Linked DNA regions of Caenorhabditis elegans. The protein of the gene in region 2 purifies or fractionates together with the protein of the main gene of each other region. This does not show direct contact. Each region holds a gene or a part of one and is shown on either strand. Other genes may lie near its edges. The genes, in order: F59A1.15 and ptp-1.

Evidence for each region.
Region 1: the proteins of ptp-1 (region 2) and F59A1.15 fractionate together in Caenorhabditis elegans (co-fractionation; one large-scale study listed by BioGRID). This does not show direct contact.

The regions. Positions count from the first base shown.
Region 1 is NC_003283.11:17,678,698-17,687,711, forward strand, and holds F59A1.15 (Adenylate and Guanylate cyclase catalytic domain containing protein), read right to left. Parts: upstream 5,167-9,014; 5' UTR 5,160-5,166; coding exon 5,009-5,159; intron 4,367-5,008; coding exon 3,966-4,366; intron 3,669-3,965; coding exon 3,584-3,668; intron 3,540-3,583; coding exon 3,413-3,539; intron 3,192-3,412; coding exon 2,692-3,191; intron 2,419-2,691; coding exon 2,333-2,418; intron 2,281-2,332; coding exon 2,068-2,280; intron 2,015-2,067; coding exon 1,964-2,014; 3' UTR 1,920-1,963; downstream 1-1,919. Other genes in the region: F59A1.16 (Saposin B-type domain-containing protein), read right to left, coding at 5,452-5,574, 6,071-6,244; F59A1.6 (Saposin B-type domain-containing protein), read left to right, coding at 6,532-6,684, 7,231-7,377; F59A1.18 (Saposin B-type domain-containing protein), read right to left, coding at 7,559-7,570, 8,066-8,242; F59A1.13 (Major facilitator superfamily (MFS) profile domain-containing protein), read right to left, coding at 8,566-8,688.
Region 2 is NC_003281.10:3,587,189-3,595,365, reverse strand, and holds the start of ptp-1 (Tyrosine-protein phosphatase 1), read right to left. Parts: upstream 4,643-8,177; 5' UTR 4,597-4,642; coding exon 4,459-4,596; intron 3,743-4,458; coding exon 3,626-3,742; intron 3,582-3,625; coding exon 3,365-3,581; intron 2,970-3,364; coding exon 2,843-2,969; intron 2,763-2,842; coding exon 2,516-2,762; intron 2,202-2,515; coding exon 1,975-2,201; intron 1,157-1,974; coding exon 1,043-1,156; intron 927-1,042; coding exon 774-926; intron 145-773; exon of another isoform or gene 142-144; coding exon of another isoform or gene 113-141; intron 1-112.

The DNA.
Region 1 (9,014 bases), on a different chromosome or scaffold from region 2:
ATAACTTTGTATCTCCTGGCTTTTCACTTCATCTATCGATATTTGGCCGTTATAAAACCTCAGCGACTATATTATTTCTCGTTTCCTTATTTTTCAATATTCATTGGTGTTTTCCTCTTTGTGACGTTGGATTGGTGGTTTTCAGCTGTCTATTTTGCCGGCGAAAATGGCGAAGTGGAGGAGTATATCAGGTTTTTTTAAGTTGAAAAATGTCGATCATAAAATTGTGTACATTTCAATATTTGGAAATTTTTTGATATCTCGTTTTTCCGCGGAGACATGATGATTATGCATAATGAAAGGTTATGCAACGAAACAGTGTGGGAGGGGGAGAGACGCAGAGTGGCGCGTCGTCTGCGTCTCTCCCCCATCCACACACTATTTCTGCTTCTCTACTTCAAATGCGTTTAACTCTCGATCCGTGAGAGATACCGAAAAACTTTAAACTGAAGAAATGATCAGCGCAAAATTTTATGTCGAATGGGTAATGTATTTTTTGATTTCCAACAAACAATTCTATCAAATTTTCTATTAATTTTCAGACAATTAACGTCAAATTAATCAACAAACTTTTAGGCTTAAAATTCTGAATCTTCCAATAGTTGGAAATTTTTTTGATATCTCGATTCCCCGCACATAAATGATGATTTGAAGGTTATGCGACGAGGCAGTGTGGGTGGGGGAGAGACACAGAGAGGCGCGCCTCTCTGCGCCTCTCCCCCTCCCACACTATTTCTGATTCTCGACTTCGAATACGTCTAACTCTTCAACCGTAAGCGATACCAAAAAACTTTCAACTGATGAAATGATCAGCAGGAAATTTTCTATTAAACATGTCAAAACTTGAAGCATTTTTAAAACCATTGAGCTCACGTTTGCAGAGAAAACATGCTGCAAACTTTCAACCTGTCAGTTTCTGATTATACCTATGCCGTATCGATCTTCTATGTGAGTTTATGAGTATTTCAAACTTAAACTAATAAGTGCCAAATTCAGAGAAAAGATCCAAAAACTGGCGTGGAGCAGGCAAGTCTCCCAGATTTTCTATTTCTAGCAAACTTAGATGGAATTATTGTAGGTCTAACGAGAAATTTTCGGTTCAAAACATTATTTTTTCACACCATTGGTTTTTTCATAATTGGATTTTGCTGGCTGAAACTTCAGCGGGTCTTCCTTCAAAAATCGCATAGTTTCGCGAATTTCCAGTCGAGAAGAACCATGGAAATGCAGCATCAACTATTCCGCGTCCTAGTTTTTCAGACTATTTTCCCAATTTTTCTGCTTTTCTTCCCTGCCGGGTGCCTTCTAGGCTTTCCAGTTTTGAAATTTGAGCCAGGTCCAGTGGAATCCATAATTTTGTCGCTTATGGCCACTCAGCCAGTCATGGATTCCCTAGTACCTATGTATTTTATAAGAGACTACCGAAATGCAATTAGGAAGGTTTTTGTAAAGGTTACAGTACCTGAACTATCAGTTACAACGCCGGGAAATCGAGTTTTTCCAATATAAATTTTATTTCTATGCATTTCTCCATTTTCACATTTCTGATATCTCAATTCCCCGCAGAGTTATGCCGTTTCAAAGTTTAGAGGCGAGAGAGTATGGGGGAAGGGGAGAGTACACTCTGGTGCCTTCTCTGCGTCTCTTCCCCCCCTTCGCTGTCTCGCTAGCAAAACTTTAAATAGCAGTATCTCCTTAGTGGTTTGAGATATCTGAAAACTTCCAATTGAAGAAATTGTCAGCGGAAAATTCTACGTTCATTGTGATAATTCAAAGTGTATTTAATATTTGATACTAACTTCGTTTTGTAGTTTTTTCACGTACCTTCTTAACTGTCAACTTCCCCTCTTAGACTTCGAATTTGCGTATCATTGTAGCCGTAAGAGATACCGAAAAACTTTCAAAATGTTCAGCGAGACATTTTCTATTAGAAAAATTTATTTATAGACAATTGTTCCAGTATCTAGTTCACAAATTCCGGTGCTGGTGGGCATGCCCTTTGTCTATCGTTGTTCTGAACAAGAATTCATGAAAATGTTTTCTCTAAACTTTTCTACAGTTACTTACATTATATTCTGAAAAAAACACATTCATGTCATTCTTCTTTCTCGGAGTTATCAACAAAATCAGCATTGCCAAAATCGAGATCAACACCAGAATCATCTCCCCGCCGATACTATCCATCGAGTAGAGTCCGCGAACATTTCCATCAAATGAGTATTGCACAAAATAGAGCACCGCAATGATTGGTGCACGGATCAACACAGGCATTACTTCAAGCTGAGGGAAATTGAAAGTTAGTTGAATTATAAAAAAAAGAGAAAATGGTTACCAAATGAACTTTCACAAAAAAGCGAACAATATCTGTGAGAGCACTGGTAAATATCCCGATTGCCAAGTAGAACGGAAAGACAGAATCTGGAAATATAACTTATCTGACGCAAAATTTTATGTTGATCATTTCCTCAGTTGAAAGTTTTTCGATAACTCTCACCGTTTAGGAGATACAAGCGTTTGAAGTTAGCGGGTGAGAGATAGTAAGCGGGGAGAGACGCAGGCGGTGCGTTGCACTCTCCCCGGCACACACACTCTCTCGCCGCCAAACCTTTAAACGCGTATATCTCCTGACCGGTAAGAGGTATCGAAAAACTTCCAACTGATAAAATGCTTAAAATTTTGTGTTCTACTCACGCTCAATGGTATAATGTTGAGAGCACTTGTCATATGTCTTGAAAATCGCCGGAATCACATAAATAACCGATGTCGTGAGAAAAATCACTGGAATAGTCAAAATCACTGGGAGAATCCGTCGAGTTGGCATCAAAAAGCTCAGAATCAGGAGCAAAATGGCTGATAGAGTGTATGACGTCATGGGTATCAGAGTTTTCTCGAAGAACATGAGCTCGGCGTGCTTGATGGTTTCGGCTTCGAAGAAAGCGTCGACAGCAAGGCTGGCGCCGGAGATCACACCACAAACGAGCACTTCTTGAATTAGCTTGAACGATTTCAGCGTTTTCACGAAGATCTCGATAGCGTTATCATTATTCTCGAAATTTTCGAATGCGATCTGATCGATTACGGCATCTGGCGCCTGGTAGATGTCGGATTTTTTGAAGATCTCAGTCACCCGATCCTGCATTTGATCCGTCTTACTTCGAGCCAACAAACTGTACAGAGAGTCGTGGAATGTGCTGAAATATTGGATTTTTAGTCAATTTTCAGCGGGAAATTTATATTTTCAGCCAATTTTTCCCAGGAAATTCAATTTTTTTGTTAATTTTCACCGGGAAATTCAAATTTTCCAGTCAATTCCCGGCTTTGATTTTAGATTTTTGTTCCATTTTTGATCCAAAATTTAAATTTTCAGTAAATTTTTGGCTTGAGATTCACAGTTTCGTCAATAAAAACCCACTAATAAGTGACAAATCCCATGATGATCGTGAGAAATCCAAAAATCTCAAAGCTGTACGACAAATCCATGGAGAATTCTGATGGTAGACGAACGGCTACAGTGGAAAGTGTGTGTGAAGCTGTGCGGACTGAAAATTTGAATTTTTCGTAGACTTTGTAAGCTCAAAGCTACCAATTTCCAGGAGGATCAACGCCGGCATTCTGTGATACTTTGGAACCGACTCAGCAATTGTGATTAAGGCAACGATGCGGTATATCTGAAAAAAATTTAAGTAAACTTAAGTGAAAGTTGTAGATCATAAAATTTTGAATATTTCCGTAGTTGAAAGTTTTCGAATATCTTTATTCTCCGCTGAGATACACGCGTTTAAAGCTTGGGCGGCGTGAGAGTGTAGGGTGAGGGGAGACGCAGGCCGGCGCGCCGACTGCGTCTCTCCCCCTCCCCTACTCTCTCGCTGCGCTGACTTCAAACCTTCATATCTCCTCAACCGTTAGAGATATCAAAAAACTTCCAACTGATGAAATGCTCATTAACATATTTTCAATGCGCTCACCTCCGAAAAAATCTGCGAAACATAAATGCTCATCTGAATTTGAGAGTCGAAATGTGCCATCACAAAATACGCGGTGCTCACAAATCCCAGACAACACATTACCAGCTTTCTGGGGCTCAAAGTAGTCGTGGCAAACATGAAGAAAGTATCCATCACAATAGTCAGCTCTCCTTTTGGTACTCGAACTGGAATGAAATTCACTTTTTCAGCAACTTTCAGTGAATCATCCATATTGTTTGGGAGACATTTTGAGTAGAAATACTCATTTGTTCCGTTGTGTTTCATAGTTTCCAGAGATTTAAGCTTTTGGGTCTCTGTTAGGAATCTGGAGGAGAAATAGATGAAGAAGTAGACGATGAAGATTGGAAACACGGTTTTTCGGTAGTGCGGGTAGTTGGATCCTGGAATAATTGACATTTGGGTAGAAAATTGTACGCTGATAATTTTGTCAATTGAAAGTTTTTCAGTATCTCTATTCGTTTAAAAGACATGCGCGTCAAAAAACTTGACTAGAGAGTGTGGTGGGGAGAAAGACGCAGTAAGCTCGCGCGCCTGCGCTCTCCCCTCCTCCAACACTCTCTCGCCGTACAAGCTTAAAACGCGTGCAGCTCCGCGGAGAATGAAGATATTCGAAAACTTTCAACTACGGAAATACTCAAAATTTTATGATCTACAACTTTCTTTTAAGTTTTTCAAAAAAATATTTCATAATTCCTAAAACTTTTGGTTGAATATTCTGTTTAGATCTTGAAAATTCACGCATAAACACTCTGTGTACTGCGGCCGACGCTGTGCAGGTCCGCGTGGCGAGAGCACCGCTTTCGTGGAAGGCCTGCTAGAGAGTGTGGCGGGAAGAGAGGCGCAGGTAGCTCACGCGCTTGCGCTCTCCCCTCCCCCACACTCTCTCGCCGCTAAACTTTAACCTGTCGTATCTCTGCGTAGGATTCAGATACCAAAAATCTTTCAAATAAAAAAAATGTTCAAAATTATCCGCACAATATTTTGCAATAGTTAATTTTGGCGTAACTCCCACCAAAACTCACCAATATACGTCATAAGCTCCTCCAAACTGCCGAACATTCTCCCATCATTGATTGATGCATCGGATGAGCTTGGCTTTAGCTCCGTCTCGACTCTCTCATCATTTTTTGTTTTAGAATTTGAAGTTTGTGACGAACTCAGTTCCGAAAACATTTTTGAAATACAGAAATGATTGGAAATTGAAAATATAGGGGAGGGAAGCATTGTGGCAAAATATGTGGATAGCGTGAACTTGGAAAATAATAAAAATTGACTAAAACTTTTTTGGATACAACACAAAATTGTACAAATTTAATAAGTAGATCGCTTTCGAAAAAAATTCTAACTGAATAATTGTTTGAAATTTTCCCATTTTTTTAAAACTAAAATTCTCAAGATAATTTGTTTGTAAATTCGAGAAAATCTATTGTTTTAACATTTATTTCCATTCAAAAATTTATGGAAATCAACAAAAATATACGAATTTGCACAATTCCTGTGGGGTAGAATCCAAGTCATCATCGAGTTGATCTGCGATCTCTACAAGGGATTTGATGAGCTTTGGACATGTGGATCCGGAGCAATTTTTCTGAAAAAACTCAAATGTCAGCGATTTTTGAGCGATGGTAATTCAAAATTGGAAATCTACACTAAAATTGGGCCTGGAAGCTTTTTCTGCAAACTTTTTAAGTGACCAAGTGGCTCAGCTGGGTACGGGTTTGGTTATGACGCAGAAGGTCAGGGGTTCAACCCCCACAGCGGCGAAAATTTTTGTTTTTTTTTGTTTCTGCGACTAAAATCATTTTGATCTTCAGAGTATAAAAGAAAATTTAAATTTTCAAAAATTATCAGAATTTTGTTCTTTTTTTTTGAAAAATTTCATTTTTGAGTTTTTTAGGTCAGACTTAATGCGATTATGTATACAAATTTGAAATCTACGCAATTTTTGGATTTGGAAGTCGTTTTCCCGCAAATTTTAAAATTGGTCTCGGTGGCTCAGTAGGGTAGAGGTTTAGTTGCGGCGCAGAAGGTCAGGGGTTCGACCCCCACTGCACCCAATTTATTTTTATTTTTCAGTTACTCACCTCTACATGCTTCTTCACATAATCGTCGATTTGTTTCGCTGACAAATTAGCCATATAGGCCAATCCCTTGCCATCCTTGATCGCCTTCACACTTTTCGTGCAAAAATCGCATTTATTAGCGAATATCGGAGAAATACAGAGTGCCAGGAGCAAAGTGAGAAGGAGAAGCTTCATATTGGAGGGAATCTGGAAGTTTTTTTTGAAATTTGAAGAGAATCCTACTCATTTTTATACCAATTTTCTTGGGAAAATCTTCAAAAATTCCTAAAATTCGAGTTTTTTCCCACGAAAAATTTCCATATTAGACGTTCCAAAAGACGTGGTGTTTGGTGACAAAATGGAAATAATGCAAATCATATGTAAAACAATCAATTTAAATTTCAAATTTCGGTACTGTAGAGATCCTCTGCAGTTTTTGCTAATCACTTATCACTCATTAACCACACCGGGAGGCCCAAAACATGAAGCTTCTGCTTATTTTCTCTGCAATTTTCGTTCTTGCCGCTAGTGCTTTCGCTGATATTCAAGAGGCTCAGGGACAATTCTGCGAGATGTGTAATAAGAATTGGGAGGAGAAAGTGCCGAAGAGTTGGGCAGAAATGACGGGATATATGGTGAGTTGGAAACAAAAACTAATGAAAAGTTCGAATTTGGCGCGAGATTTTGATCTTGGAGGCGTTTTTAGCACAAATTTTTTATCGGGTGGCTCAACCGGGTAGAGGTTTGGATTCGGCGCAGAAGGTCAAGGGTTCAATCCCCACTAAGAGCAAATATTTTTGTTAAGTTGGATCACTATGAAGAAGATTAAATGTTTTTTGAAAATCGCGTTTTTACCGAAATCCGGATTTTTTGTTGTGAATTTTCCGAAAAAAGGCATCGAAATAGTCTGAACAGAGGTCTAAAATCGAAATTCGGAGTTAGATTCAATGAAAAATGGCCCTAACTCATTTTTTTTGACCATAAAAGCTGTTTTTTTCAAATTTCGAAAAAATGATGCAATGGCTCAGTTGGGTAGAGGTTTAGCCAAGGCGCACAAGACTGGGGTTCGATCCCCGCCGGCGGCAAATTTTTTGTTTTTTTTTTGTTTAGAAAAAGTAGTTTAACACTGAAAACCTTAAGATTGACATCCTTTTCAGAGGAAATTTTAAAAAAATTTCCAGAACCTTGCGTGCTTCCAACTTCACAAAACTCTCAAGCCAAAATGTATGGCTCTGGTGAACAATTTCAACATTGGCAACGTTTTTGACACATTCCGTCCTCAACTTATCGATTTCGGAAACGCCGTCTGTGATATGTATTGCAATTAAAGAATTTTAACAAAGACATTTATTCCCTGCACCCTTTTATTAAAAAAACATAATTTTCTCAACAAAAATGGATAAACGAGCAAATTTGAACAGTTGTCGCGTTTTTGTTGGTCGGCCAATATTCTGCGAAAAGTTTGAAGCATGGGTCTCCGATGGATGGCATGTGAGCTGTTAGCGACGTTCAGAGGGTGTCCTGAAATTGATTTTTGTGACTTTTAGGTGGTTTTAGAAGCAAAATTGACTTGAAAATCAGAAAGAGCATTAAATTTTATCCTATGGTCGTTATTTTGAAGGTTTTCAAAAAGTGTCTTCGTGGCTCAGTTGGGAAGAGGTTTGACTATGGTTCAGAAGGTCAGGGGTTCGACCCCATCGGTGGCTATTTTTTTTTTGTTATTTTTGCATCGAAAACTGTTAGTTAATGTTAATTCCCAGTAAATCGACAAAAATTGTATTTTTGAAAATTAATATCGAGATTTTATGTAGTTTTTCGCAATTTCAGTGAATTTTTGGAGAAAAATAAGTAAATTCAAATTCCACGCTAAAATTAGCGCCAGACGCAAGTTTTCCGAAATTTTAAAGATGGTCAAGTGGCTCAGTTGGGTAGAGGCTTGGCTGTGGCCGACAAGACCAGGGTTCGACCCCCGGCAATACTAAAATTTTTTCGTTTTACCGTATTTCTCCACCTTACCGCATCAATTCCAAGATCTGGTGAATATTTGTCCAAAAATCCGGGTAAATGCTCCAAAAAGTCGATGCAAGACTGGCACATACTACTGTAACCGGTAGTGAGTACGGTAGGCTCCGTGGAATTTTCAGCAAAGATAAGGGGAGCTGAAAACAGAATAAGAAAAAAAATCGGCTTCATATTGAAAGCTTTCACTGGAAAATGGAGAAAAGCTAGAATTTCTGTGCTTTTTTGTGAACTTTTGCCTTCGCGGAGGACAAAAGAGGCATTGAAATGGTAATTTCTGATGGTTTTTTTTGTGACGAAAACTTGTTGTCAACTGAAAATATTTGATATAGATGTTATTTGTGAAAGAGTAGAGTTTAAAAAATTTTTTTAAACATTGCTGAAAAAGTTTTTTTTGAAGTTTTTTTTTTGAATTTTTCTTTCTAAAATCACTAGATCTTTAGTACAAATTTGTAATTTATTTTTAAAAAAAATTAATATAGATAGATAACAAAAAACTAGGCTTCATTCGGTTTCTGCCCGACTTTCACGTATGGTCCAGGCTCGTCGGAGGTCAAGAATGGGAACGGTGCATTTGTGATGACAGTTACCACGGCAACAATTATGAATAGGTGAGACCACTGAAAATTGTTTTATAAAAGTTTAATTTAAAAATTGAAAAAAAAATTTGTTTTTAATTTTTTGAATTTTTTCCAAAAAAAAATTTCCACCTCTCAACTGAAAAATGTTGTTATTTTGCACATTCGCACAACAAAAATAGCAGAGAAAAAATTTCGCGCCACTGGGTGTCGAAACCCGGACCTTCTGGGCCATAGCCAAACCTTTACCCTACTGCGCCACTTCGACATTTTAAAAGGATTAAAGGACGATCCGTTCTTCAAGTGCTATGCACTGCGGATCTGGGATTCAGGTACACTGCCTGGTGGTGATCCCTCTGGGCTGTAAT
Region 2 (8,177 bases):
TGTAATAAAGCCACCCATCTTTGGTGTAAAAGTTGAGCAGCAAGGGTAACACGAGGTAAATAAATTCTACACATGTTAAGGAACCAAACAAGCTTTTGATTAGGCGCCTCACCTCGTTCTAGCTGTTCTCCGACGGCGCATTCGATTATAGACTGATTGCGCAAGAAATTGTTCAGTGTATGTGTATGAACTTATCAGAAGAACGACACAGACAAAAGTGAGAAAGTGGAGACGGAAGTGATAAGGAGAAAAAGACTTGTAAATCAAATGGAAAAGAACCTATTAGTAGATTTTAGAACGATTTTTGAAATGACCACCAAATTGGTCAGTTATGTGGAAAATTGCTGAACAAAAGAAGTAAGATTTTTTGATGGGCAAAGTAATTTACATGCCGCTTTGGGCACTAATCTCATAGAAATCGTCGGCCAATCAGCGAAGTGCAAAGGGCGTGGCCTGTGTCGCTGATTGGTGGGCCCTCTCACGTGCGCGCGCGAATTTGAAAATGAGTTCTTGAAACAGTAGTAGTAGTTCGTTAAGTTGAACATGTCGTGACACAAACGACCCCTGTCTATGGATTACCCAACAAACGTTATTTGAGAAGTTATCGACACCGACCAATCAGCGATTTGCAAAGGGCGGGACAAATGTCGATGATTGGTTGGCTTTAGAATTTGATATTCTTGAAAAAGTGGTTGTATTCTTGTACTATATTAAAGAACTGCTCTCTTAAGATGCTCTGTACAAATAGCAGGAATTGGATACAAACTAATTACCTATCTGTGGCATAGTCTCGAGTGCGTCGTGGTGAAAGTGGTGTAGTGAGTGGTGCACAGACAACTGCACCATCGGAAGCATATCCAAGTGCATCGGAGGAATCCGTGTCGTGACGGGCGGCACTCAACAGACGACGTGCCAACAATTGACCACTGTGAGAATAGGAAAAGCGTGTGCGGAGAGAAGTGCGAGAAAAGGCTTGGTTTTGGCAATTTGTGTCGTTATTAAACGAATAATTGCCATAACCATGACATATTAAAATTGTTACCTGGACGGAAGTTCTGGAGAGTCTGTAGTTGTTGTGTTGGTATAACGGGATGAATCAATTGATTGTGTGTTGCCGGAAAACGTTGATCGGAGGAAAGAAGATTTTGAGAGGGATCTGAAAAAGTTTTTTGATTACATTCTAAAAGTTTGGGGGTTAATTGAAACTTTTTGGCCCCTCGAATTTCGTTTCAGAATTTTCAAAAAAAAATTAAATTCGGTAAGAGTATTCTTGCCACTGAAATAAATCTTACACATGAATTTTTGAATCTGTTTTAAAAGAACACTGAAATTATTTGAAAAATAGTTTTTTGAAATTTTTTGAACGAAATTTTTAGAAAAAACCTACTGCAGATTCCTGCATTTTTACATAAAATCTAGTGTCACATCGTTAATATTCCGAAATTTTACTGGGAAATGAAAATTTTAACACTTTACATATAGGCATGAGGTAGGCACTAAAAGGAGGCAGACAGGCAGGTAGGTTTTTTTTGTTTTTGAAGGATTTTTGAACATTTTTCTATAAAGTTTCATTTTGAGCCAACTTTTGCAACTTATTATTTGGAAAATGTTGACATGTTGCGCTGAATTTTTTATACTTTTTAAAAATAAATTAACCTATCGCCTGCATTGAGAATATCGGAATTTTCAAGGCTCATTTCTAGAAAAATATGTGAATAACGTGGTCATGGGCCCAATTTTTTATAGGGATCATAATTTGTTTTCTCAAAAACGAAAACAAAAAGGGACAACTGGATATACAGCAAACTATAATTAGATCAAAATAGACAAAACTTTGAATTTTGAGCAGTGTCAGGGTTACTGTAAAGGGGGGGGGGGGAGTGACCTTGCCATGAAAACTGTTCCACGACCAGCTATGGGGTGGCTTTTTCAAAATTTTAATTTCTAAATCAATTTTCAAAGATAAATTCTCACCTATGAAAATTCCGATGTCCAGCTGACTTCCGATGCTCATTCTCCTCAAGTGTCTGATATTCGGTTCGTCCACTATATCGGAATTTCGATCCAAAGTTGAAAACCTTCCTTTGCGGCGTTTTTGGAGGAGTTTTCAGCCGGAAGAACGTGTGCTGCTCGATGCAGCATTTCCAGAGAAGTTTGCAGATTTTCGCGGACATGATGTTGAAGATCATGATTGTTTCGCTCTGAAATTAGGATTTTGTAACCGAATATTAGAAATTTGTACGTCAAAGTTCAGCCATAATTTAAAAAAAAGAAATTTTTTTTCATAAAGTCTCTCCGAATCTAATTGTTTTTTTTTGTGTGTAATATGAGGCATCAAGGTTCTAATTGAAAACAAGGCAAATAACGCACCAATACGTCATACTTTTTTGCACAAACTTAAAATTATGCCTACGTGCCTGCCTATTGCCTAATTTTCAAAATTGGAATAAATTGTGCTATATACTTTTAGTTTTTTAGGCGAATTTTTTCACAGATTCCATAGCCAAAAACTCACCACTCCATCCTCATTAGCCACCAAAACTTGAAATTGTTTTTTCTTGAAGCTAAGTTTTCTTATTCGTACCCACGCGTACTCATTCATCTTGATTCCCTCGTGAAATACTTTAATTCCAACTGCTCCTACTCCAATTTCGATCGGAAGATGATTTGCGTCCACTCCGTCATAAACATCCATTCCGTACATTTCGAGACGCCGCGCGTGGTCAAGAAAGTTCTGCTCTGCTACGTCAGGGGTTTGACCGCTGAAAAAAAATCAGGATAAAAGGCATTTGATGTAGGTATACAGATTTGCCTGCCTTCCATAAAATCCTAAAAAACCTACATATGAAGCTGATGAAGTTCTGCGACGCGATCCGAAAAATCATCTGGAAGAGTAGCAAATTGAATTTTGTAGCACAGACACGTCCGGGACATTCCATGAGTTTTCTCCTCAAAGTCTCCGACTTCCGCTGTAAAAATCAGTTTTATTATCAAATTTCGATTTTGCGTGGAATATGGTACTGTGAACAAAAAAAAATTGCGCGTCACATCTGATGCATTAGAACCATGACACTGAGCAGAGCAGAATCTTTGAAATTTGAACATTTTCTCATCAAACATGGTGCATTCGAATACTGAAATTACGGACCAAATGCATCATATGAAACTTGCGCGTCAATTGTGATGCATTAAACATTTGAAATTTGCTCGTCAAATATGGTGTATACAAAATTTGCAATTACAAACCAAAAACATCAGATCATATGCGCAACTATAGTCTATAGAAGGCACAATAATGCCTACGCACATGCCTACAAAGGGATCGTAGGTAGGCGTAGGCAGGCAGGCACACCTTCTCACTAACCTTGTACCACATAACTAGCCAACAACGCAAGTGATCCTTCATTACACGGCAGCCTTCCTTCTTCCAAATTCTGCCTAACTTGTTGATAGAATTGGAACCTCGTAAACTCGTCTCGTAGACGATTCGGGTCCCGTACGTAGAATTTGACACGGAAGAACAAATGATACGGTGGGCAAATCATTTGTTTTCGCAAGTTTTTCGACGGATCCAGCCATTTCTGAAATTATTATTGTAGGAAAAGCCTTGGAAAGTTGAAAAAACCTTCTGCTGAGCACTAGAATTATCGACTGCAATGAAGACGAGGCCAAAATAATCTTTTTCGATAATCTCCAAATAGTTGAATACTTTTTCTAAAAGTACGATTCCCAGGGAGTTTTTCTGAAAATTGAGTAACTTGTTTCCTGCGGCCTGCCTACCTACCTGCCTACGTGAATGTAGGTAGGCACAGTAGACCTGGTGAATCATATAAGAATTTAATGCACTTCTTCTGCACTTTTTTCTTAACTGAAATCGAAAACAACCGGCTAATTGAAAGTTGTTGATGCCAAGTAAATACCATCTTGAATATTTCAAATTGGAATATATTTTGATTCAATACAAAAATACAAAAATGAAGTCAATTAAAAGATATTTTAGTTGAAAATGTGGAAATTTATACGATTAACAACTATTTTTTTTGCAAAATTGATATTTTCTTTTCAAAAAAATTCCATGAAAAATTATCAATTAACAATATGCGGAAAACTTTGAGTTTCTAAAAAAAGTTTTAAAACTTTCAAATTTATAATATACAGCTTGCTCAGCCTCAACAGAAGTGAGCGCAATGAAGAAGCCCCATTTTGATTTTTCAAAAATATTGGCGCGAAATTCAAATTTTAATTTTTCCAAATAAAAATGTTCTACAAATTTTTGGAAAATTTACGAAAAATTCTCCAAATCATAAACAATATAATTTGTCAGTCAAAGGCTTTTTGAATCATCTCCTAGATTTCTTTTATAGCTGAAAAAAATACAAATTTTCCGTACAAGTACGTCAAATTTTCTCATAAAGCCAAGCTTTCAAAAATAATAATTACATTAAAAAAACCTCTCACCTCAATTTCAAAATGATAAGAAGTGCTATCAAGGAAGGTAACTGTACATCGGATCTGATTTGGAGGCGGTGTCTTGACAGGCGTTTGACCAATTGCCTCCGTCCTCTGTACATCGTAACTATTCGATCCGAGACGCATAGCTGCTTATGTCATTATTGTGCAAAAAGGAACAGAAGCCGTCTGAAATAGTTAAAAATGAGTGAAGAGACAGGCAAAGAGAGAGATAGGAAGCGGAGGAAAACAAAAACAAAAACTTTCGAAGAGATGTTCGACGAGGTCAGCTGAGTGAGCGAGAGACAAAACCAATTTGCTGCTCAATTTATAGTTTTTTTTGTTTAGCCGGGAGGAGGAAAAGCCTCAAAAAATAGGAATAGGGAAATGAAAAACAGATGAGAGAGAGTGGTCAAAGAAAGGGATAAATGTAGCAAGAAATTGAAGATTTTGGAACATAAGTGCAACATAAGAAGAATAGGAAGGACTAGTAGTAGTGGACGGATGGACTCAAATTCTGAGAGTTTAGGGAGAGGCTAATGCAGTTAAGAGCCATTATATGGGCGGGGTGTTTTATTGATTTTTTTTAATTTTTGGTCGGATTAGATCTATTTTTAAATAGTTCCCTGTCTGTAAAAAATTTTGGGAGAAATTAAATTTTAGAACCAATAAAAAAGCCCGCAGATGTCTTCGCGTTTTAGTTTTTTTAAATATTTTTTTTTATTTATCAATTTCGTCAATAATATGTTTTTCAAATGGCTAATTATTAGAAAATGAAATCCTTTAAACTCCAGCACAAAATATTCAAAAAATACTACTGAGAAAATGCGCTGCAGCGAAATTAGGAAAAAAAAAGCTAATTGAAATTACGAATTTCTACTAAAAATTGTTTTTTTTTAATATGGAATTTTTAAAATTGAAAGTTAATTTCGAGTGTTTTTTTTTAAATTTAAAAATTAGCCGAAACTCGAACTATTGAAACAGAAGAACACATTCCAAAAAATCGAAAAAAAATAATTTTTTTCCAAAATCAAAGAGCAAATTCTAAGCTTTATCAAAATTTGTTTATTTCAATGAGAAACAATTTTCTCCAGGAAAGAAAAAATGCTCTAAATTGGTGAAAAAACGTTGCAAAGCTTGATATTTTTCTATTAAAAACTTCAAAAAAACTTTTTGAAAAAAGTTTTCTAAAAATACCGCACCAAATTCAAATCTCCAAGTGCTAAATCCATGACTACATCACCCTGCCACACATTACTTTTTCCATCTAATGAGGCGAAAGTGCTCGCGGAGCCCCCAAGGAAATTCAATAAATAACGCGCGAAAATTCTTTGGGAAGGAACGAAACAAAGCCAAATTTTAATTTTGAGAACCCCAAAGAGATAAGGAGCCAGATGGAATGAAGGAAAAATAGAATAAATGAGAAAACTGGGACAGCTTCTTCTTCCTTCCTTCCACCCCAGCAACAACACATTATGAAGTGGAGTGGACCCAATAGAAGAAGGAAAAAAGGAAAAAAAAAACGTTAGAAAACGAATTGTGTGCTTTAGGAGAGGGCGAAAATAGAATGAAAGTGGACCTGGACTCCGCTGCCGCCAAAAATTGGATGGAATCGGAGGCAATTATTAGGCCCTCTTAGGATATGTGACATACACACCGAGAAGTTTTGATTGATGACGTGGCACGGGAAACGGAGAAAAAGTTGAAGATGAGTATAATAAGAGTACGGTTATGGTATTTGTAGAAAGAAAATTTCTGGAATATACACCTTTAATCTTTGAATTTTAACTTGCTTTAAAACTATGTGCCTTTAAATGTACCTTTCGGGTATGTGTTTCAAAAAAAGGATTTGTAGCTTAAACTTTAAATTATGTCTAATTCAGGTATGCACTCTTGAATTTGAACTACGTGCCTTTCAAATAGTGTTACCTTTAAACTAGACCTATGCATTTTTCAAAACAGGAGTATGTTTCTTCAAAATTAAGGAACATCTCCCTAAATTTAAATTATGTGGCTTTAAATAAAGATTTATGAAATAAAGTATGTAAAAATGAGTGCGGTATTTATATATCTTTATAGTTGATGCAAAAAGTACATTTCCTGTGAGACCAAATAAAAGTAGTAATAATATGTACTATGTATGTCATTCCTAGAATTGTTGTATGTTTTGTTTAGATGGGTTCATGTGAAAAATAAATATCTAGGCTTTTGTCAAATTGATACGACAAAAATTGATACGATATTCCTACGAACTAGGGGTATTTACCTTGAAAATTTCAAGTTTATAGTATGTCGTTCAGATTTAGAATACGAGTTTTTAAAAATTTTCTCTGAAAATTTTCAACAAAGCTATCTAGCCTATAATTCCCAGATAAATTGAAAATGGAGCTGCTGCAAGAAAGATGAAGTATAGAGAAGCACACATACAAACCAAAAAGCGGATTAGAAATTAAGGACGTTGGTGAGGGAGGAGAAACTGCAAAAGAAGAAGAAAAAGGAGAAGCGGTCGACTCAAGTCGCTTATGATATAATTGAATGACACGAAATTGAGTGCAAATTAGACAAAATGTAGATGGAAAGAAGAGCGGCGAGAAGATGATGGGACTAAGAAGAAATGATAGGTTGGAAAATTTCAGATTTTTGAGAAAAAATGGAAAAAAAAATCTCGAAAAATAATTTAAAAAGCGAAAAAAATATGTATAAAGAATTGAGCGAATCTTCCAAAATTACAGGTAAGTTGAAGCATCTAAAAAAGGGATATGCGGCAAATTTGCCGAAACTTCCGTTTGCCAAGCTCGGCAATTTTGAAAATTTGCCGCACACACCACAAATTGGGTTTTAAAAAATTTGACCAAAAATGTTAATTTTGTTCAAAAAATTATAGTAAAATAGCATGAAATTGAGTTGCCCGTTTCGGCAAATTTGCTGAATTTGCCGCAAACTTTACCTTCTTCACCTACAAGGTTACCTGAGCGCCTATCGTCACTAATTGAAATTTCAGATGATCTAGATAGTTCTTGGGCACCTAAAAATGAGTGCTGGCCGAAAAAAACACCAGTAGAGCGTGATCGCAACATTCGAAATTTCAAATTGAATTTTTTGCAAGAAAACTAAAAAGGGAACGTAGTGCTTCTTCTTTTTCTTCCAAAATCTTCACTCTCTTCCAAACGACGCAGAGATTCAAGGAAACGCAAGTGGGAGGAGGTCAAAAGAAATGGCTTCATCTCCTTCTTCGCTTTCACACTAAGCTGTTTCTCGCCAAAAACATATCCGCTTTCGCACTTTACCAACAAAAAGAGAGCGGCGGTCAAATTGTGCATATGAAATGAGCTGGAGGAGCCCGCTCCAGCAAAAACCCAAAACCCGAAAAGAATCCCCGAAGGGATCAACTCAATGATGTATCGGTTGAGTTTTTGGTAGTGTTGTCGAAATGATAAAGTACACATGTTGAGGAGATTTAGAAGAGGGTGAAGAGCCAATGATGATACAAGTCGTTAAAAATGGAATTCTACGAAAAAAGTGTGTGGTATGCTAGAAAAACCGTTAATACTCGAGAACAAAAAGGGAAGCAAGAAAAGTATCTTAAAAGGAACAAGTTTTTTTTTAACTTAAAGATGATAGAAAACAGTATAAATATACCGGATAAAAAAAACTGTTGATAAAAAAAACTGTTGATAAAAAAAACTGTTGAAAACTTTTAGAATTTTTTTTAAATTTTTAATGATTTT